Drosophila melanogaster: one gene and its partner. The protein of the gene in region 2 interacts with the protein of the main gene of each other region in a pairwise test. Each region holds a gene or a part of one and is shown on either strand. Other genes may lie near its edges.

Region 1 (6,423 bases), on a different chromosome or scaffold from region 2:
AGACGCATAAGCATCTCAAGCTGATATCTTTGAATACGATCCGGTTAGTGATTGACATCTCGGATAGTCCAAGAGCTTTTGGTTTGCTCTTGCGGGGCGATAAGGAGAAGCTCTATACGTTTACGATCAGTGATGAGGAGACAGATAAGTCGGTCTACGTAAAGAAATTGTGCAACCAGATTGCAGCCCACACCTGCCGTACTGATGCGGTAAGTGGTAGCATACATAGATAGTTTTATGTTCTGAAATTCATGTTCTTATTCTTGTTTTGCAGGACAAACTTTTGATTTGTCGCACCTCCCAGGAACTGGAGGTGGACATAAGTGATGTGAATGTCAGCACGCTCAGCAAAGCCTTTAAACTGGCGGCCAAAACGCGACTCAAGGTGGGTCCTCAAAACTTTTTCAGCTTAAAACTTTTCTAATACTAATTTTCGTTCTTTTAGGTGGGTCGTGCTTTCTCCTTTAACAAAACGCCCAACAAACTGAAACGGGCCGTATCCACGATGATGACTTCGCCGTTTGGCAGCACCAACTCTCTAACACCTGCCTCTCAATTGGCCCAGATGCGTTTGGCCAGCTGCACGAATATAAATGTGTGTACAACTACAGCATCGATGTGAACAAAAACTGATGTATAATTATATTTTTATAGGAGGTTGATGATGAGGACTGTGCAAGCATGCGAAGCAGTTCGCCGTCAACACAATCCGAGATGCTAGTGGTACCGCCACTTTCGGTGCAACCCACGCGGAAAAACAAGGCCGTTGTGGGCCGCATTTAGAGCTGATGATGATGATGACTCCACAGTCAAATTGTGTATTCCATTTTGGAAGTCTCTTTTTGGAGAGACTCGCTTGCAGTGCTATTCCTTGAGCATTGGTCGCCCATGTCCGAGTGCATATACAAGCTTCGAATTCGTAATCTCACAACACAACCAGAAACAAATTATCGAGCGTCCAATATTGTTTAGATTGTAAAATGTATTGTTAAGTTGCACCTGTCGATAGGAAGGCTCGCAAATGTTGAAGCGTTTGCCCGAGCTGTCGATTGATCATGATTAACTTGTAAATAGTTCTCCATATGTGTACTCCCGTGCCCGTATAATTGTGTCGCGTCGCTAAATGTAATCAACTACTCATTGCAGTGACTAGGGATCGAATTCACGCACGCACCGAACGATCGATTCGGATGGTTTTCGGTCGGATGATCGCCACACCGCAACAAGCTGTGAATGTTTACTGAGTAAATTTTTTAAAAACCCTATCTTACCATATTGATTATAACTCAACGATTTTGCTTGAGTAGGCAATTACGACCCTAAGTCGTAAGGCGTTCAAAGCATGAAGATGTTTAAGTTAATATATGAACAATGATTAAAGGAAAACATTTTTAAATCAAAGCATTTTTTATTCTTAGCTTTGAAGCTGCAAAGTAGGCAACGAATTACACAAACTTCGACAGTTACCACAATCTCACCCGAAAAGATGCAATTGTTGCGCATAGAAAATTAGGTTTTTAATTTAGTCTATAGAACAATTTTGTAGGGGCAATTCCAAGTAAATATTCATATACACCAAGCCAATCATATCTTCCACACTTACGAATCTGGTGTACAAAAATAAAAATATACTAACGTAGAGGACCTAAACAATCGCTTTCAGAGTGTATAAACCGATTTGACGCCCGAATTGAATTTGGACATTGCATCGGAATGAAGTTGATACTGCAAACTATGCGATTGCAAATGAAGGAGTATCTTCAGCTTCTGGCCGATCTCCAGAATGGCCATTTCGTTACTCCCGTTGGCAGTCCAAACCGCTGTAATAGATACAGTTTTTTATCAATGTGCAGAACACATTTGATAAACTTACAGATTTTGTTGCTCTTGTTACGTATATTGATGACAGCTCCGCAGATCTCGTCGGAGTATTCAAAATTTTGGCCCACCATCAGCAGTAGAATGTCCAGCCAAATTTGATCCAATTCCGCTTTGGCACTCTTACTCACGGTGACCAGCCAGCGACCACCCTTGATGTTGGCTTCATCCTCCCACATGGGTCTTTGGGAGTAGAGGATTTAAGTTAGCATCTCTCAATGAACAATGATTTATTCGTACTTTATGCCCTTCTTGAACACGGAGTAATCGCATCCAATCTTCAGCTCCGCTGGGGTCTTGATGGTATGGTACAAGCTCCAGAAGGTCTCCACACTGTCAATCTCGGTAATCTCGTTTAGCATGTCCTTCCAGTGCTTGGTGCGATCGTTTTCCAAATACCACAAAGTCCACACATGCTCCAAAGGATGCTTGTACTCGACTTGGTATATCTCTTCATCGATAGGTTCTGGGCTATTGCTCTCCAGTGGAACACCTTCGTGGTGATGATGATGCTTATGGATACTATTCAGCTGATGTTGCTGATCCTGCTGCTTCATAATATCAAAACTTTGCACTTGTGCACTGGCCATGTTGTTGGTTGACTTGTTTTTTTTTTTTCGATACGAACAGGTAACCTTAATTTATTTGCTGACGGCTGTGTTCTCAACGAATTTTGTCGCGATTCGAGTGGGAATTGCTTACTAATAACCAAAAATACTTTAGCACATTTTTCTAGACCTAAACGAAACCTGTCGAAAAGAAGGAAATGAAATGACAATGACACCTGGGTGTAAGCATACTATGCTGGTTTTTTCTTTTAATATAAATTATTTTTATTCATTTATAAATACTGCAAAACTTAAGACAAATCAATTTACATATTGTTAACATAGAAATGCGCGCTTGGTCCTTAAAAAAAAAAATAATAACATACAAAATGAAAATGTATGCACTCTATTCCAATGGTCAATTAAACACTAAGCGGAGGCACTAGAGAAAACAAATCGAAACAGCTACGGGGTGTTCAAAATAAAAAAAAACACGGTTTTCGTAACCATATTTGAAAAGATTCTCAATTCTTTTAGAAATACGTTAATAAATTATCTCAAGGCTGGTTTTGAATCATCCACCCGTCTAGACCCATAAAACAGCGGCTGCATCCTCGTTGGACAAAGTGGAGAAGCGCTGGTAGCGATTCGCATTGCGATAGGTTTTCGAGGGCGATGGAGCGGTTGATATCTGAGCTTGAACCTGTACTTGAACTTGAGTCTGATTTTGCATGGGCAGCCCCACCATATTTAATCCGGACTTTAGTGTGGAGTTCCTGCTGTCCGAGGACATGGACAGGCGTCGCTGGTTTCCATTCATCAAGGTGGAACTCAGGGGCAAGCCGACATCGTGAAAGGAGCTAATCGAACTGAAGCCACTCTCATCCTCGGTACTGGAACCGCTCTGCTTATTGCTGGTGGTTTTGTTATTGCTATTGCTGATGGCTGTGTTGCTGGCGGTGGTCTGTGTCTGCGTCTCCTCATCCGTTTCCACTTTCGAGGAGGAGGATGCCGTCGACGAGATGGTGGAATGCACGGAACTGTCGGTGGAGCTGCGCAACGATAGCCTCGAGTCGCGCATGTTGTTGGCCCGCAGAAAGATGAGTTCCGCATTTGATTTCCCGCCCGGTGATGGAGTCTCCAGTGTGGCACTCATGATACTGGTGGAATTGTGCAATGGTGGCGTCAGTAGTGTCATCACCGAACTGGTTTTCCCCTTGCATAGGCGGTGATTTCCCGAGGGCAGCGATGAAATGGAAGCGAGCGAGTGGCGCGGCTGCGTGAGATCTGGTTGCTGTTCCGAGGTGTGCAAAAGATTCCTTATGGTTCTGGCCAAACGAAAGGCCTCCTGATTCAGCTTTTCCTCGGCTGCCTCAGGAGCCGATAGACGTGACTTGCAACCGCCACTGCCTCCAGACTTCTTCGGGGATCGACGCCTTTGGCAGAGAGAAGACATTTCGTTATTAATTGTTTGAAAATTATTAGCACTGCTATTGATCTCCCCTTACCATGTAAAATCCTTGAAGGCATTATAGCTTCCAGCTGGTGCAATCGTCTCGTAATTGTGCTCCTCGTCCATGGCATGCATTGATTTATTCAACATCAAATTGGTGCTGCTCCGGGCGCGTAGATATGAAGCTGATCCGCCGCTGGAGGCGTCATCATCCCGAGCATCGCTCTGCAGGGAGGTGTTGCCCACTCCGTGGACATGATGCAGACTCTTGGAGCGGGCAATCTGCTCTCCATTGCGTTGGGTCTGCTGGAGTTGTTGCTGCAACTGGTAGCGCTCAAAGAAGCGGGCCACCTCCTCCATCACCGCTCGGTACATCTCGCAATTGGTTTCGGTCTGAAATTTAGGATTATAAAGTGATTTAGAATACTTAGGGATTGATAAGTGGTAGTTTTTACGCATAATGAAGATAGATTAGATAGATATTGTATCTTTCTTTGGGAATGTAACTTTAGAAACGTGTGGCCCATATTTTAGGTGAGCTTTCAGCTCTTCATGTAAATCTCATTCAATCGACCTTTCTCCGGCTAACTCAGCTTGTATTTCCCCTCCAAAACTTACAGCTTTGCTCCAATGTGCCAGGTCATTGCTTTGACACATTGATAATGCATTTGAACCGATGACTTTAATTTATTATTTATGTTAATTGTAAATGATTTTGCTTGGCAGCAAACATTTGTAGAGCAGCAGCATCGGCATCAGCATCATCATCAGCCTATAAAAACTTTCACTTGATTTTTTATCGCGCCCCTTTACTCTGCGCGCATTTCTCTACTTCATTGTGCTGTGGGTCTTTGGGCCATATCAGCATCATTGGCCAAGTTGATTGGGGGGGAATGTCGCTTTTGGTTAACTTCTGTGGGCCAAATTGTCTAATTATCAAATGCCATTCGAGTCTATGGCGCTTGCCAAATTGGCAGAGACCTCAAAAAGGCGTTAAGATTGCCGATTGCCATCACCTGGCAGGCAGGCACACGCCCACCTCCCGGGCCATTTGAAATTTGGCCAAAACGGGTGGGCATGCAGTTTATATGTACATATATATGTGTGTATATCTGCTGGTTTTTTGGGGAGGCTTCACACGATGCCAAAATAGTTGGTGTCTGGCTGATTATGTAAGTTGGCGATGCAGTCGTTGCTATTGCTATTGCAACGCTTGGAAATTGTTGCTAATTTTTCATTGGACGTTTTTCCGTTTTCGGAGGTTTTCCTACTGCGTGTTCGCCAGAGGTTTTCATTCGAATTACGAATTGTTTTCGTGTGTCTGAGATTTATTTGAAAATGATGTGGAAATTGTTGCCGGCGCGCACTGCTGCTGCTGCTGCTGCTGTATTTGATTTCGATTTTGTTATGCTTTGTTTAATTTCATTAATGCCCAAAGTGTTTTTAGCCATCGTCGAGCAATTGGAGCTGAGAGGATTCGGGTACGAATTTTTCCGATTCCGATTCGGACTCGCTTGGCCTGCCAGCAGCTTCCCATTGAACGCATTTCCTGGCTACACCGGTCGGTTTAGTCTGGGATCTTACCGGTGCATAAATTAAATGCGGTTCCCTCCCATCGACTGCATCGTCTACTCAATCAATCAATCAATCAATCTCGCCAGGGTTCCACCCACGCCTGCATGGTTTTTCTTTTCATTTATAATGGCCAAAATGTTTTTCCATCGCGGTTTTCCTGCCTTCTAACCCAGTTTTCCGTTCGCCAAACAAGAAACGGACCAAGCTACAGAAAATATTTATCTTTTCTTATTATTTTCATGTTTTTTTTTTCTGGTCACTGCTTTGTTTTCTTTTTTGCAATTTTCCAAGGCGAAGACCGCCGGCTTTCCAAGTCAACTTCATTGGGGCTCATTTAAAAGCGCATTAAATCGAAATGAAAGCGTAAATATTTTCGCTCTTTCAGCGGCATCCGTTGGGTGATTATGCGTTGCATAGAATAGCCTCGAATTGAAAGTGTTCGAAAGGGGAGAAACTGATCAGGTTGGACTCCAGATCTCAGCGTATCCAATGTGAACGTTGAAGGTCATTTCGTCGATTTCGAGTTCAAAGTTTGTTTCGGTCAATTGGGAGCAAAGCCGGCTTAGTGCACTGGTCTAGTTTTCGATTGGGAAAAATCTCAGATAGTTGGGAAAAACTAGTCATGGTGTTGTATGTATCTCAGATGTATTTGTAATGTTAGATTTATGTTTTATATTCTGTCATAAGTAAGATAGATCGAAACATTTTAGTCAAATTCATTTACTGTGAGATTCCCACGAATTCTTCTACCTTTTTGCACTTCTTGTTACCCAAGCTTAAAAACATGTCTATAATTTGTAAATTCTTTACCGCTGATTTAATCAATTAATTGTGTGTGAGTACCCCTAGGATTCCTGTTTAAGAATTTTCAGAATGCCCAAGTCACTTCATTGATGGCCAACATATTATTACACACCATATAGATACCAATCAGAATTGTTAGACTCAATCTGGCGCTTCTCACTTTAA
Region 2 (11,012 bases):
AAAAATAAAAATAAACCAAAAGCAAAAAACCCACGAAAACAAATGCATTAAATTGCATTTAAAACTAATTAAAATTGTAGACAAGCACTTACGCTAACATTATTTATTATTGTTGTTGCTGCTGCTGCTATTGTGGTGTGTTAAAAAGGTTTGTCGTAATGAGCTTACCTGCAATTAAAAGAACAAATATGGGCAAAAATGTAGTAAGCTGTTTTTTGAAAAACTAAATTGCATTAAGGGCATTTGAGGTTCATTTAAATAAGGCAGCACTTGCAGTGGCCCAACTCAATCAGGAGTCACTCAACTCACATCACATCACACACTACCCCGCCCACTTGGGCACTCATTCATTTATTCATTCACTCGACTCGTTCAGTTAACTCTCTTATTCAGTTGTCCTGTCCACCTGCCTCAGGTAATTTGTTGCTCAGTGACCAACGAGGAAACAAAGGCCCAGAGACATAGAAACGCAATCCCATGTCGAGTCCTTGTGTGTTGGCTGCTGCATCTTTTCCAATCCATACCAAACCAAACCGAATCGAACCCTTTTTGTCTCTGTGCGTCCATAAAAAAGGAGCAGAGGAAAATTGAAATGACATCGAATGAAAACTCCCGTACGTGTCCCAAACAATATAAAAGCCAAGACCGAAAACCCAATCCCAATCCCAATCCCAATCCCGATCCCGAGATCCATGGGGAGTAATCGCTCTTTCTCCGCTCGACGAGACAAAAAGGAAAACCTCTCATGTGGGAGGCACAAAAAAAAAATAAAAACAAAAAGTGAACAAGATGAAAAAAGCCGAAGAAAAGTGTCCAAGTAATCGAGCAACTTCAATTTGCCGGCTATGGTGGAAAAATGAAAATTGTCAACCGAAGCTTCCTCGACTTTTCCCCCTTATGATTCCATTTAGCGCCTGGCACGCCAATTACAATGACAATGAATAATTATTCAAGACCAAAGACCAAATCCCGGACAGGAATTTTAATGCACCAGCTGCTGCTCTCTATTTTTTCCCGCCCCTCTTGCCGTGCCACAAATTTTTCCGTTCCGTGCAAAATTTTAATGAAGTTCATCTCTAGCATTCCACCGAGCAGACCAACGCGCCCTTTGTTGTGCAAATTGTCTTAGCCCTTGGATTGGATTGGGGTATAATTCCAATTGCGAATGCAAATGCATTACCATTAACAAAAGACATTAATTACTTGGCTGAATGAAAAATGGTTGAGTCGAGGGAGACTCTGGCTGCTGGCAGCGCTTCGCCGTTTAATTGCCAAACATTTTTGCACATATGCACAAATTAGTGTGACAATTGTTCGGCTGCGGTAATGATGATGATGATGATGATTATGAAGCTGCCGACGCTGACATCGCTGCATTACAGGCAAACCAATCCAATACGAAAACCACCCAGTCACCAAGCCAGCCAGCCACCCAATTGCAATCCGAAATCCCAAACCAAATCCCGTTGACAATTTTCGCCATTAGGTGGGCGACGACAGGAACCATCGGCATTATATCAATTACCCAACATATCACCCATTCAACCCCGAAAACGCACAGCCATCGGCCATCGATTGTGTGGGACTGCACCTCCTGAAATCGAGCATTGCAATTGATGAAATAATTTGCTGCGCTGACATTTTTGGTTGCCATCGATACTGGGCACGGGCCGACAGGCCGAAACAGATGCAGATGGTAACAGAGTTGTCGATGGACGCCAAATGCCAGGACTATTGCCACGCCCCCTCCTTCATTGTACATCAGCTACCACCGTGCTCATCTATCTATCTACTATATATATCTATGGCGTAACAGCTGCATCAATGATTTGATTTGATTTCCTTAGATAATTGCCAAACTGAAACATGTGCGAGAATTTCGGCCATCCGGAGGAGAGTAGAGTGTCTGTCCCAAGGGTGATATTCGATGATGACGGCAACCACTAAGAATTAATCAGAACGGAATATCAAATTGAGCATCCTAAATAATTTCATTCGCATATAGTTCGAGACCCCAGAGAGTCGAGACCAAGTGTTGAAATGAAGGCATGGAGATTGGGATCGGATTCGGATTCGGGACTTAATAGCTGGATGATGGATGATTTCATTGGGTTGATTTATGCACATGTATGAAGGAAGAATACTGCTGTATGCTGTTTGGTGGAAAACTAAGATATTATTAGCATTTAAAATAACTAATTTTAGTAACGAACGACATTTTGGCAAAGGATTTTATTTATATAATTTTTTTTTGGCGCTATCATTATATTTATGTTCTTGGTTGAGTTAGTAACTCAACTGTTTAACTCGTAAGCTTTTTTGAAGATTGGCGCGTATTTTACATTTTCTATTATTTAGTTACAAAATTTTTGTCGTTTTTTTTGTGTTACATATTTCATGTTTTACGTGTTTTTTTGTGAAGTTTTCTGTGTTTTTTAATAGTTTTTGGTAAAAACCTATTCCCGTACAAATCTTATGAATTGTGTAGTAATAAAATGTTAGCTTTCCTACACTGTACAAAACTGATATTTTTTTTAGATTTTTAAATTTTGTAATTTTTTTGCCATTTTTATTATTTTCTTGCACGCTATGATTTTTTTTTTCCTTTCTTTTTTTTTTTTTTGTTTTGCAATTGTCTTGCTATGAAGCTTGTGAAAACAACTTTAGCCGTTTTGGTACGCAAACATTTGAAACAGTTTGTTGCTTTTTAGCAGATATTTGTGTTTTTTTTGCGACCGACTTTGTGTTGAGATAGGCGTTTGGCATATTTACATGGTCCCTTCACGTTGTGATTTGAAAATCGGCTATTTTCCTACTATACTTATATAATTATCCAACGTCAAATTTAAATTGTTTTAAAAGCGTCCGGCAACTTATGGAAAAAGCACATCCTCATTAGCGCGTAAAAATATTTCTTTGCCTTTTCAGTATGTCTTGAACGTGCCGAGTGTTTTTGGTTTAATTGAGAGTTTTTACGCAATTGGTGGCTTGTCGGCCACAGAGTTATCCTTGAGTCCCATCAGACTGCCGTTGCCAGTACATTCATTGGTCGCATCATAGTTGTTGCTATGGCTTAATACTGGGTGATCTGGTTTGTTGTTGATATCATCCCAAATGGCTGTAGTGGCTTTGTCCACCATTAGTATTGAAGGACGCGGCGATGGTATTGCGCTGTTGGATCTCGAGGAGCCTCGATTCGGTAGCAAACGGTGGTGTTGACCCTCGTAGAGTTCGATCTCTGAGTCCACCGATGGCTGCTGCATCAGTATTGTGGGTCCATCGTAGTCCTCGAATATGGCACTGAGATTCCTCGTCGAATCCAGTCTCCTGTAGCTGGCCACAAAGATGGTTTTGATGCGTTCAAATGTATCCGTATCATACACCGATCGAGCTGTATTCGTCTGATCGAATGGCTCTTCGATGCACAGCTCGTTCCACTGGTGTATATCGTTTTTGGGCGCAGTGGCTGCCCGGCACACCTCTATGGGCAGGACACCACCCACCCGTATCGAGATGGCATACTTTCCGTAATCAAATACACTGTAGTAGTGTAGGAAGCTCAACAGCAAATCACCTAGAGTTTGGCTGTTATCCGACTGATACGGAGCCATCACCTCGTTCATGTCCACATAACCGAAATCGTTGGGCTGCAGGAGACCAAACTTCTCCGGATATAAGTTGTGCAGACATGGAAGCACAGGTGGACTTGCTCCAACCTGCAGGAAATGAATGACCATTAGCATGAGCGAGTAGCTCGATATGGTCATGTTCTTGGCATTGTTAATGTTGTGATACTGGGCCCACTGCTTCACGGTCAATGCCATCGGACGAACTCGCCAATCTAGCTGGGAATAGCAGTATAGAAGATGGGTATTCCTGATCCCAACGGAGTTATTAAAGTTTATGTCCACCTCCACTTTATGGCATCGGTCGGTGAATCGCAGTATTGGCACTCGTGCTTCGATCAAATTGAAATCCTGAAACATATTCGTGCGGCCCAGCAGCTCCTTCATAACATGCAAATGATAGACGGCCTCCATGCGAGAATCAATGTTAGGATTTGTGCAGGCCAGCATGCAAATATCCATGTCCGAGCACTTCGAACCAAAGTACGAAATGGATGAGCCCACCAAATAAAGCCCGTATCTTGGATAGTTTTTCTGTAAAGCGTAATTTAGTTGAAAACTATTGCATTTTACTAAATACTCCCAACGGAACTCACCATGGCCACTGTGTAGATGGCACGCCACAGTCGCATCTTGATCTTGTAAACGTGACGTGTCTGCTGAGACTCGAGGAACTTCTTCCAAACGGACAGGGATAAGGGGTCCCACTTGTTCTTGCAGCCCATCACTTTCGGTGGACGTCTCATTTCCACAAACTTGGCTCGGAGTAAAAAGCGATCGGCTGGCGTGTAACCAAAGAATTCGCGCCAATAACGATTGTGAACCACTAAGGGCAGTTCATCATCATCATTGTTTTCTTCTGGCTTTGGGGATTAGGATAAGAGTGTGGAATGAACAAATTTGCCAAAGGTGCGGAAGTTTTTTTTTTTTGCCAACAAAATGTATTAAGGGACATTTCCACATTTATTTCTTGAAAAAAAATAATGCAAGATTTTATTTTGTAAATCTTATAAAGTGAACTATCAGACAAACAGACGAAAGGAAAAAATAACTTTTCGAAGAAATAAACTTGGTAATTTGCCCATTAAGAAGTACATTTTTGAGTTCACCTACCATTGTAATGTTGGACTTGGATGCCATGGGAGCCAATACACTCTTGCTGGAACTGGCAGATGGACTGCAGGAGAGATTTGAGGCCACCGAGATGTTGTCAGGCTGCTCGGTTATCTCCCTCAAGAAAATGTTCTTCCCACTTTCAATGCCATCCGGCTGATTTTGGTCCAATTTAAACACCAAATCTTCAGAGTGTTGATTCAACATATCGCCGCAGCAGCTCAATCCTCTTGGACTCATTTGCGAATGGTAAGCATAATGCGACTGATGATATGGCCTGTGGGATCTGTAGCCATTGGTTGGGGGGTTCTTTTTGTCCAGCTCCTTGAGATAATGCATATCACCGTAGGGCACCAGATTGGGGCCACTGAAATCGGGCTCCTCAGCCCCGGTGGCCACTGCTAGGCAACTAACCAATATATCGCGCGCCACCGACTCCACGGAAGCATCGCTTAGTTCACTATCGGAATCATCGCTCTCCACACTAGGAGCAAAACTGGCGAGGGATTGATTATCATCGCCATCGACTTCGGAATTTGGATGCGATATCAGGCACGAGTGAGTGTCCAGCTCCGAGGTGTCCTGCTTGATACCGTTCGGCTCCAGGTCGGAGGAGAAGCCGCCATTGGCTGGATCCAGACCCAAGTCAGCAAATTCCTGGCGCTGATCAAAGTCCGAGTCCAGCGGCTGCTCGCCCTCCAAAGTGGCGCTGCTGGCTGTGACTGGAGCTGCTGCTGCTCCTCCACCCTCTGCTGCTCCTCCACCTTCTGCTGCTGCTGCTGTTGCTGCTACTGCTGTTGCTGCTGCTGCTGTTGCTGCTGCTGCTCCAGGAGGTGCCCCGGTGGCTTCTGACACTGGTGATTTTCCTGGTCTTAACCCCACAGGCGGTGCTCCCGCTGCATATACCATATAGTGTCCAGATTGAAAGACATAGCCATCCATGTGTCGCGATTGGTAGAAACGAGACTGTTGCCTACCGGCAGCAGTATGTGCTTGATAGGCATTTGATCCTTGGAACTTAGAAGTTCTTCGCACTGTTGATGTCGATTGCTGCGGTGGCTGGTAGTTACTTATTGGAACGGTCGTGGTCGCCGCCTTTTGCTCAGTTGGCTCTGTTGCAGTATAACGCATCCGGTTTCTATAATTGCGATGTGGATGCTTGATTGGTGAAATAGAGGAGCTCGAGCTGGGACGCTTGTTTAGCTGGGACTTTGAGGATGAATTGGAAAGCGATTCTGATGAGTTGGATGTCAGCTCTTTTCCAACCGAATTCTTGCCTCCTTTTTTGGCATTGTGACGATTTCTGTGATTATTTTGGGTCGCAGCTCCTTGATGGTTGCGTTTGGTGGCCACGTTCTGATCGCTGGAGCTAGCTGCTCCAGTTGCAGGTGCACTTGTGCCCACTACTGCTGTGGTTGCGGCTCCTCCGGCTGCGACAGTTGCTACAGCTCCTGCTTGAAAATTACGTACATTTGCCACAAAGGGTGCTTTAAATCGAGGACCGTTAGCCATACCACTGCCGATGCTGTTGTAAAAACTCTTAGAATCTCTGTGCAACAAAGCTGGTGCTGCTGCAGTGGGCACCGCATGTCGTCCGCGGTGTGTTCCTGGTCTTCCGTAACGCCACGTGCTGCTCACCTGCGGAGCGTTTCCAAGTGTCGCTGGAGCTTCCTCGCTACTTTCCGTTGTTCCCACGGCTGGCTGAGTCAGTATATGTGGCTGTTGGGTCACCGGACGATTAGTTCTTGTCAGTCCCGCCACCGCAGCAGGATTAATTCCCGGAGGAGTCTGATTGTAATAGCCCGGGTATATTATTCTCTGCCCATACGGATGCTCAAAGCCCACTGGCATCATGGGTATTCCATATGGCGGTGAGTATGCCTGATTGTAAGGATAATTTCTATCAAACTGCCACACTGCGTTTTCTGCGTGCCACAAGCGACGCTGCGGTCCAGTGGGCATATATCCCTGGCATATGAACTGAGCAGCTTGCAAGCCCGCTGCTGGCAAGCCACTAGATGAAACTGAACTTGTTATTGCCTCGGCTCCCGATCCCGGAGAGCCACTTGATGTTGTAACTGTAGTGGATGGTGTCGTGGATGCTGCTACCGTGGTACCGTTTGAGCCTCCAGCAGATCCTGGGTAGCGAATGCCTGACGGACGTGATGGTGCCACGCCCATATTGGTCAGCAAAGGCATGTGGGTGGTTAGTAAGGGGGCCGTGGATCGTACGGTGCGAGGTGTTATCGATGAGGGCGTTGGTATATTCAGTGGTATGCCGGCCATGCCACTGCCGATCCCGTAGAGAAACTCCATAGAGTACTTGTAGCCACCCGGTGGACGGGGACAGGTGTGCACCACTGTCGTTTTGCGCTGCTCGAGTGGTTTCGCAGCACCATGCTCCAAATCTTCGGGCTCATTCCTTCCAGAATCTTCGATTTCGAGTGCTTTGGGAGCCATATTTGAAGCTGGTTCCAGTGGCACCTCTGATGTCGTTATGGTCTTCGTGGTGGTGTTTATGGTGTTTGTTGTTGCCGGTGACGCTGTAGTGTTTGTGGAGTTGCTAATGGCCGTTGTTGTTGCTGTTGCTGCCGCGGCACTCGACGATGCCGCTGCTGCCATTGCCATTGCAGTGGACATAGCTACCGATACGGCCTAATCACGAGCCAAACGACATATATCTATATATATGTGCGTACGCAAACGCAGATTGCTAAAGAATATGTTGTGTGTCCGGTACCTCAATCTGTCACTCCTAGTATGCAAAGAGTTGACAGCAAACTGAAGGCCAGACAAGGAGCCTCGAAATTTCGGGCTCTTAGATGGGCAATTGGAAACGAGAGCTCTGGAAAAGCCAGAGACCCACATGAGGGAATATATATTACAAGTGCTATCGCATTCCTCATACCTTAATGGTCCGGTTTTAAGGGCTTCATTATGTTTAATGCCTGGGATCTACAATAATTTGTTTTGCTTCCGCAATTTTAGTTTTTGAGTAGATAACATTCGCCTATTTCGTGGTCCGTTGTTACAAAAAATATCCACGTTTTCAGATGGCAAACACAGTTGGTACAGAAATTTAACACGATTTTCACTAGGATTGTTCACGGTTAGTACAAGTAAAAAAAAGTGCTCGTCATTCCTAATTCGATAGGAATCTGGCCAAAAGTATTGGTAAGTGCGTCTAATGTCACACTGAAAATCGATTGTTTTCTAGTGTTGGGCAAAAAAAAAAAAATGCACAAGTGGCACACTTATTGGACACTTTCACTTCAAAGTATTCACACTCTTTCTTTCTGGGTGGCAATCCTTTTAACTTTCTCCACTTACCACTTGAGCTAAATTTCCCCTACGCCACATTGACTAAAACAAAGAAGGCTTTCGGAAAAAGCTGACACATTTCTAAAAACAAGAAGAAAATAAAAAGAGAAAATCTGCGCCATCCACTTAACATAGTTCCATTCAAAGCTGAGCTCAGACTCCTTTTTCCGCTCGCTTCCATTGTCTTCATATTACGTTTACAATTTGATTTGCTTATGTAAATTATGAAGATTACCCACAAAAAGCAACCGCAGTTTCAAGGATTCAAAAATTCAATTCGATTTGCCGGCTCAGCCGAAAAAATGCAACCGAAAGATGGTGAAGGAGAAGAAATTGCGTTCTTCTGTAATTTGAAACAAATCAAATTTATTACCCCAGACGCAACGGCGCCATTGGCAATTTTCAGATGCGGCCAGATGCGGTGAGCATATGAAATGAGCCCATTGAAGAGGGGGGACGGAGGATGAATGGAATTGGTTTAGTCTACGTGCATATTCAGATACGGGCCCCGAAACGCTCACATATTCTAATTAGATTTATAACGCAACAATAACTGTGCTGTGCCTGCATTATGCCCCTTTCTCAGGGCCAGATTTTCAAATTTAAAACTTTCAGTGAATTATGGTCAGTGGCAGAACAATGGGGTGCGGCAGGTACACTTAGAAAACAGTTTACATGGTGATTCAAGTTTGGCCATATTGTCAAAAATGTATATTTAAAACTATTATAAATGGAAAGGTGTGGACAGCAAGGTTAGCATAAGCTTTCTCACAGTGTATATAGTCAAGTGAAGAGATAAACCAACAAAAATTCGTTTCTCTGTCATAAAATTCTACGTGGAATTCGGTTGAGTCATGCCATATTAGGGGACTAACCCCCTCCGCCTCATAAAACATCCTTCTCATTTAATGCTGTGTGACGCGTGTTACAGATTTTCGATTTAGCACACACCCAAAGACACTTTTTTTTTGAGATCCCTTTGCCGAACTAAAAATTAGCCTCGAAACAGAAATGGGCAAAAAAAAAGTTTCATATTACATGCAAGCAATTTGGCAAATAAACTGTCAGCAGCACTGAGGGATATAAAAAAAGGGGGCGGGAGGCGTGTGCTGTATATATATATATATATATATATATGAATGTATATATGTACTATGCAATGAAGATGCTCGGGCAGCCAGTCATCGATTGAAGGTCTGAATAATTCACAGAGAGCCAAGAAAAATGCCATGGCCCGTGTCCCCGGGGGAAAACGCAGGATAAATAAGGCAGCGGCCAGGGGTGGAGAGCTGTGAGTCCCCGGGGTTGGATGCTCACATTTCTTACCCACCCAAAATACGTACTTTTCATTTTTTGTACGACCCTGGAAAAATCCTAGACATTGACTTTTTATATTCGAAAATCCATTTCGTTGCGCTAAGGACAATAAAGCGTGGCAGGTAATTAGATTAAACTAATTTCGGTTTCTCTTTTTTATTGCCAATCAGTGACGACGTAACGAATTCCTTTTGTTTTTTTTTTTTTTTGTGTTTTTGCCATTTTGGTTAATAATTTTATTAGTGTTTCCCTTGTCAAAGTGGCGGAGTTGACAGCCGATTGCCGCATTGCAACAGTGCCGCGGCATATTTTTGTATCTGTGGCATGAATCGCCGTCCCTTTATCGGGATGTGTGTGCGAAAAGCAAATAATTAATAATTCATGCAACACGATTGACAGTGCGCCCCAGTTGAACTCGTTGGTCCTTTTTTTTTTGCGCTGTAGTACTGTGTAGTACTGGTGCCTCCTTTTTATTTGTGGCACGCTCATAAATTTACAATTACACATGCCAGAGTGGAGACGGCGGTGCGCAGTTGCCTCCTTTTGCGTTGTTTTTAATTTAATAAATTAATAAAACGGGAAACGTGACAACACTGGCATCAAAGTGGCAAAGTGTCGCCATTTGCATTTTTAATGCACTTTACCCTGCAACTCGGCGCGTAAAAATAATTATCAACTGAATCGACGATGAGTTGGCGAAAAACCGAAAGACAGACAGCGGACCTACCGATTGCAGTGAAATTTTTAATTGAATTTTCTCAACATGCGTGTCAACTCTAACACTCTGTCAAAAACACACCGTACATTTTAGGAACACAACAAATTTCAATTCAATTTTACTTTCAATTGCAGTTAATTGCTCGCCCGCAAGCTAGAAAAGGAAAATGAAATGGAAAACAAAATTTAAACTCCAGCACGGACAATTTATGAGTGCGGCAGAAAATTGTACTTTTCCTTTTGGCACACTTTAACACACAATGGTGGCGTCTCCTCACCGGCTCACCTGCTGAACGCAGTTAACCCCAATTACGGGCACAAAGACCAAGACCCGGCCCAGACAACCAGACAGACAGACAGCCAGCCAACTAGTAGCTCTGGCAGTAGTTAAAATATTTAAGCCACAACACGGCGTGGAGAAAAATGTAAGTAAGATGGAATGCTGCCGCAGGCATTAAAATAATAAGGATAAGGAAGCGGTTGTTAACCACGAAACCGCTCAAAAATGAATGAATGAATGCCGGCCAGGAGCCGGAGTTGCTTGTCCGGGCATGGAGTCGCGTGCTCCATTCTCCATTCTCGATACTCCAGGGCGAAAGCGAGTGAGTGACTCCTGAGCTGAGCTCCTCGTTCGGACTTTGTTCATTATGCGTTTCCTGTTTGCATAAGACCGAAAAAGCGAAAAACCCGTAGTAATTGTTCTCCGCCACTGCGGCTGGCAGTTGGCGATACCTTCGGGTGGGTTGCTGCCCCATTGTGACCGGCGTTAAATTTCGAAAGTTTGCCCTGCCCTCCTGCCAACTTCCAACTACCAACTGGCTTTTCCGCCTTGAGGCTATTTGACAAAATGAGTAAACGGAGCGACACGGCGGAAAAAAGTGAAAATTGCATTGCTGGGCGACAGGAAATAGGCGAGCG

The links. Proteins that work in one complex are often made in the same cells at the same time.
Region 1: the proteins of Gld2 (region 2) and eIF4E5 interact in a two-hybrid assay, tested with the Drosophila melanogaster proteins (one large-scale study listed by BioGRID).

What each region holds. Positions count from the first base shown.
Region 1 is NT_037436.4:7,891,084-7,897,506, reverse strand, and holds eIF4E5 (eukaryotic translation initiation factor 4E5), read right to left. Parts: upstream 2,628-6,423; 5' UTR 2,469-2,627; coding exon 2,119-2,468; intron 2,062-2,118; coding exon 1,874-2,061; intron 1,821-1,873; coding exon 1,660-1,820; 3' UTR 1,498-1,659; downstream 1-1,497. Other genes in the region: pbl (pebble), read left to right, coding at 1-209, 275-385, 446-595, 655-783; CG32365 (uncharacterized protein), read right to left, coding at 3,013-3,862, 3,935-4,272.
Region 2 is NT_033777.3:22,208,657-22,219,668, reverse strand, and holds Gld2 (GLD2 poly(A) polymerase), read right to left. Parts: upstream 7,846-11,012; 5' UTR 7,648-7,845; intron 7,585-7,647; 5' UTR 7,380-7,584; coding exon 4,740-7,379; intron 4,490-4,739; coding exon 4,223-4,489; intron 4,161-4,222; coding exon 2,973-4,160; 3' UTR 2,254-2,972; downstream 1-2,253. UniProt on the Drosophila melanogaster protein: Cytoplasmic poly(A) RNA polymerase that adds successive AMP monomers to the 3'-end of specific RNAs, forming a poly(A) tail. In contrast to the canonical nuclear poly(A) RNA polymerase, it only adds poly(A) to selected cytoplasmic mRNAs.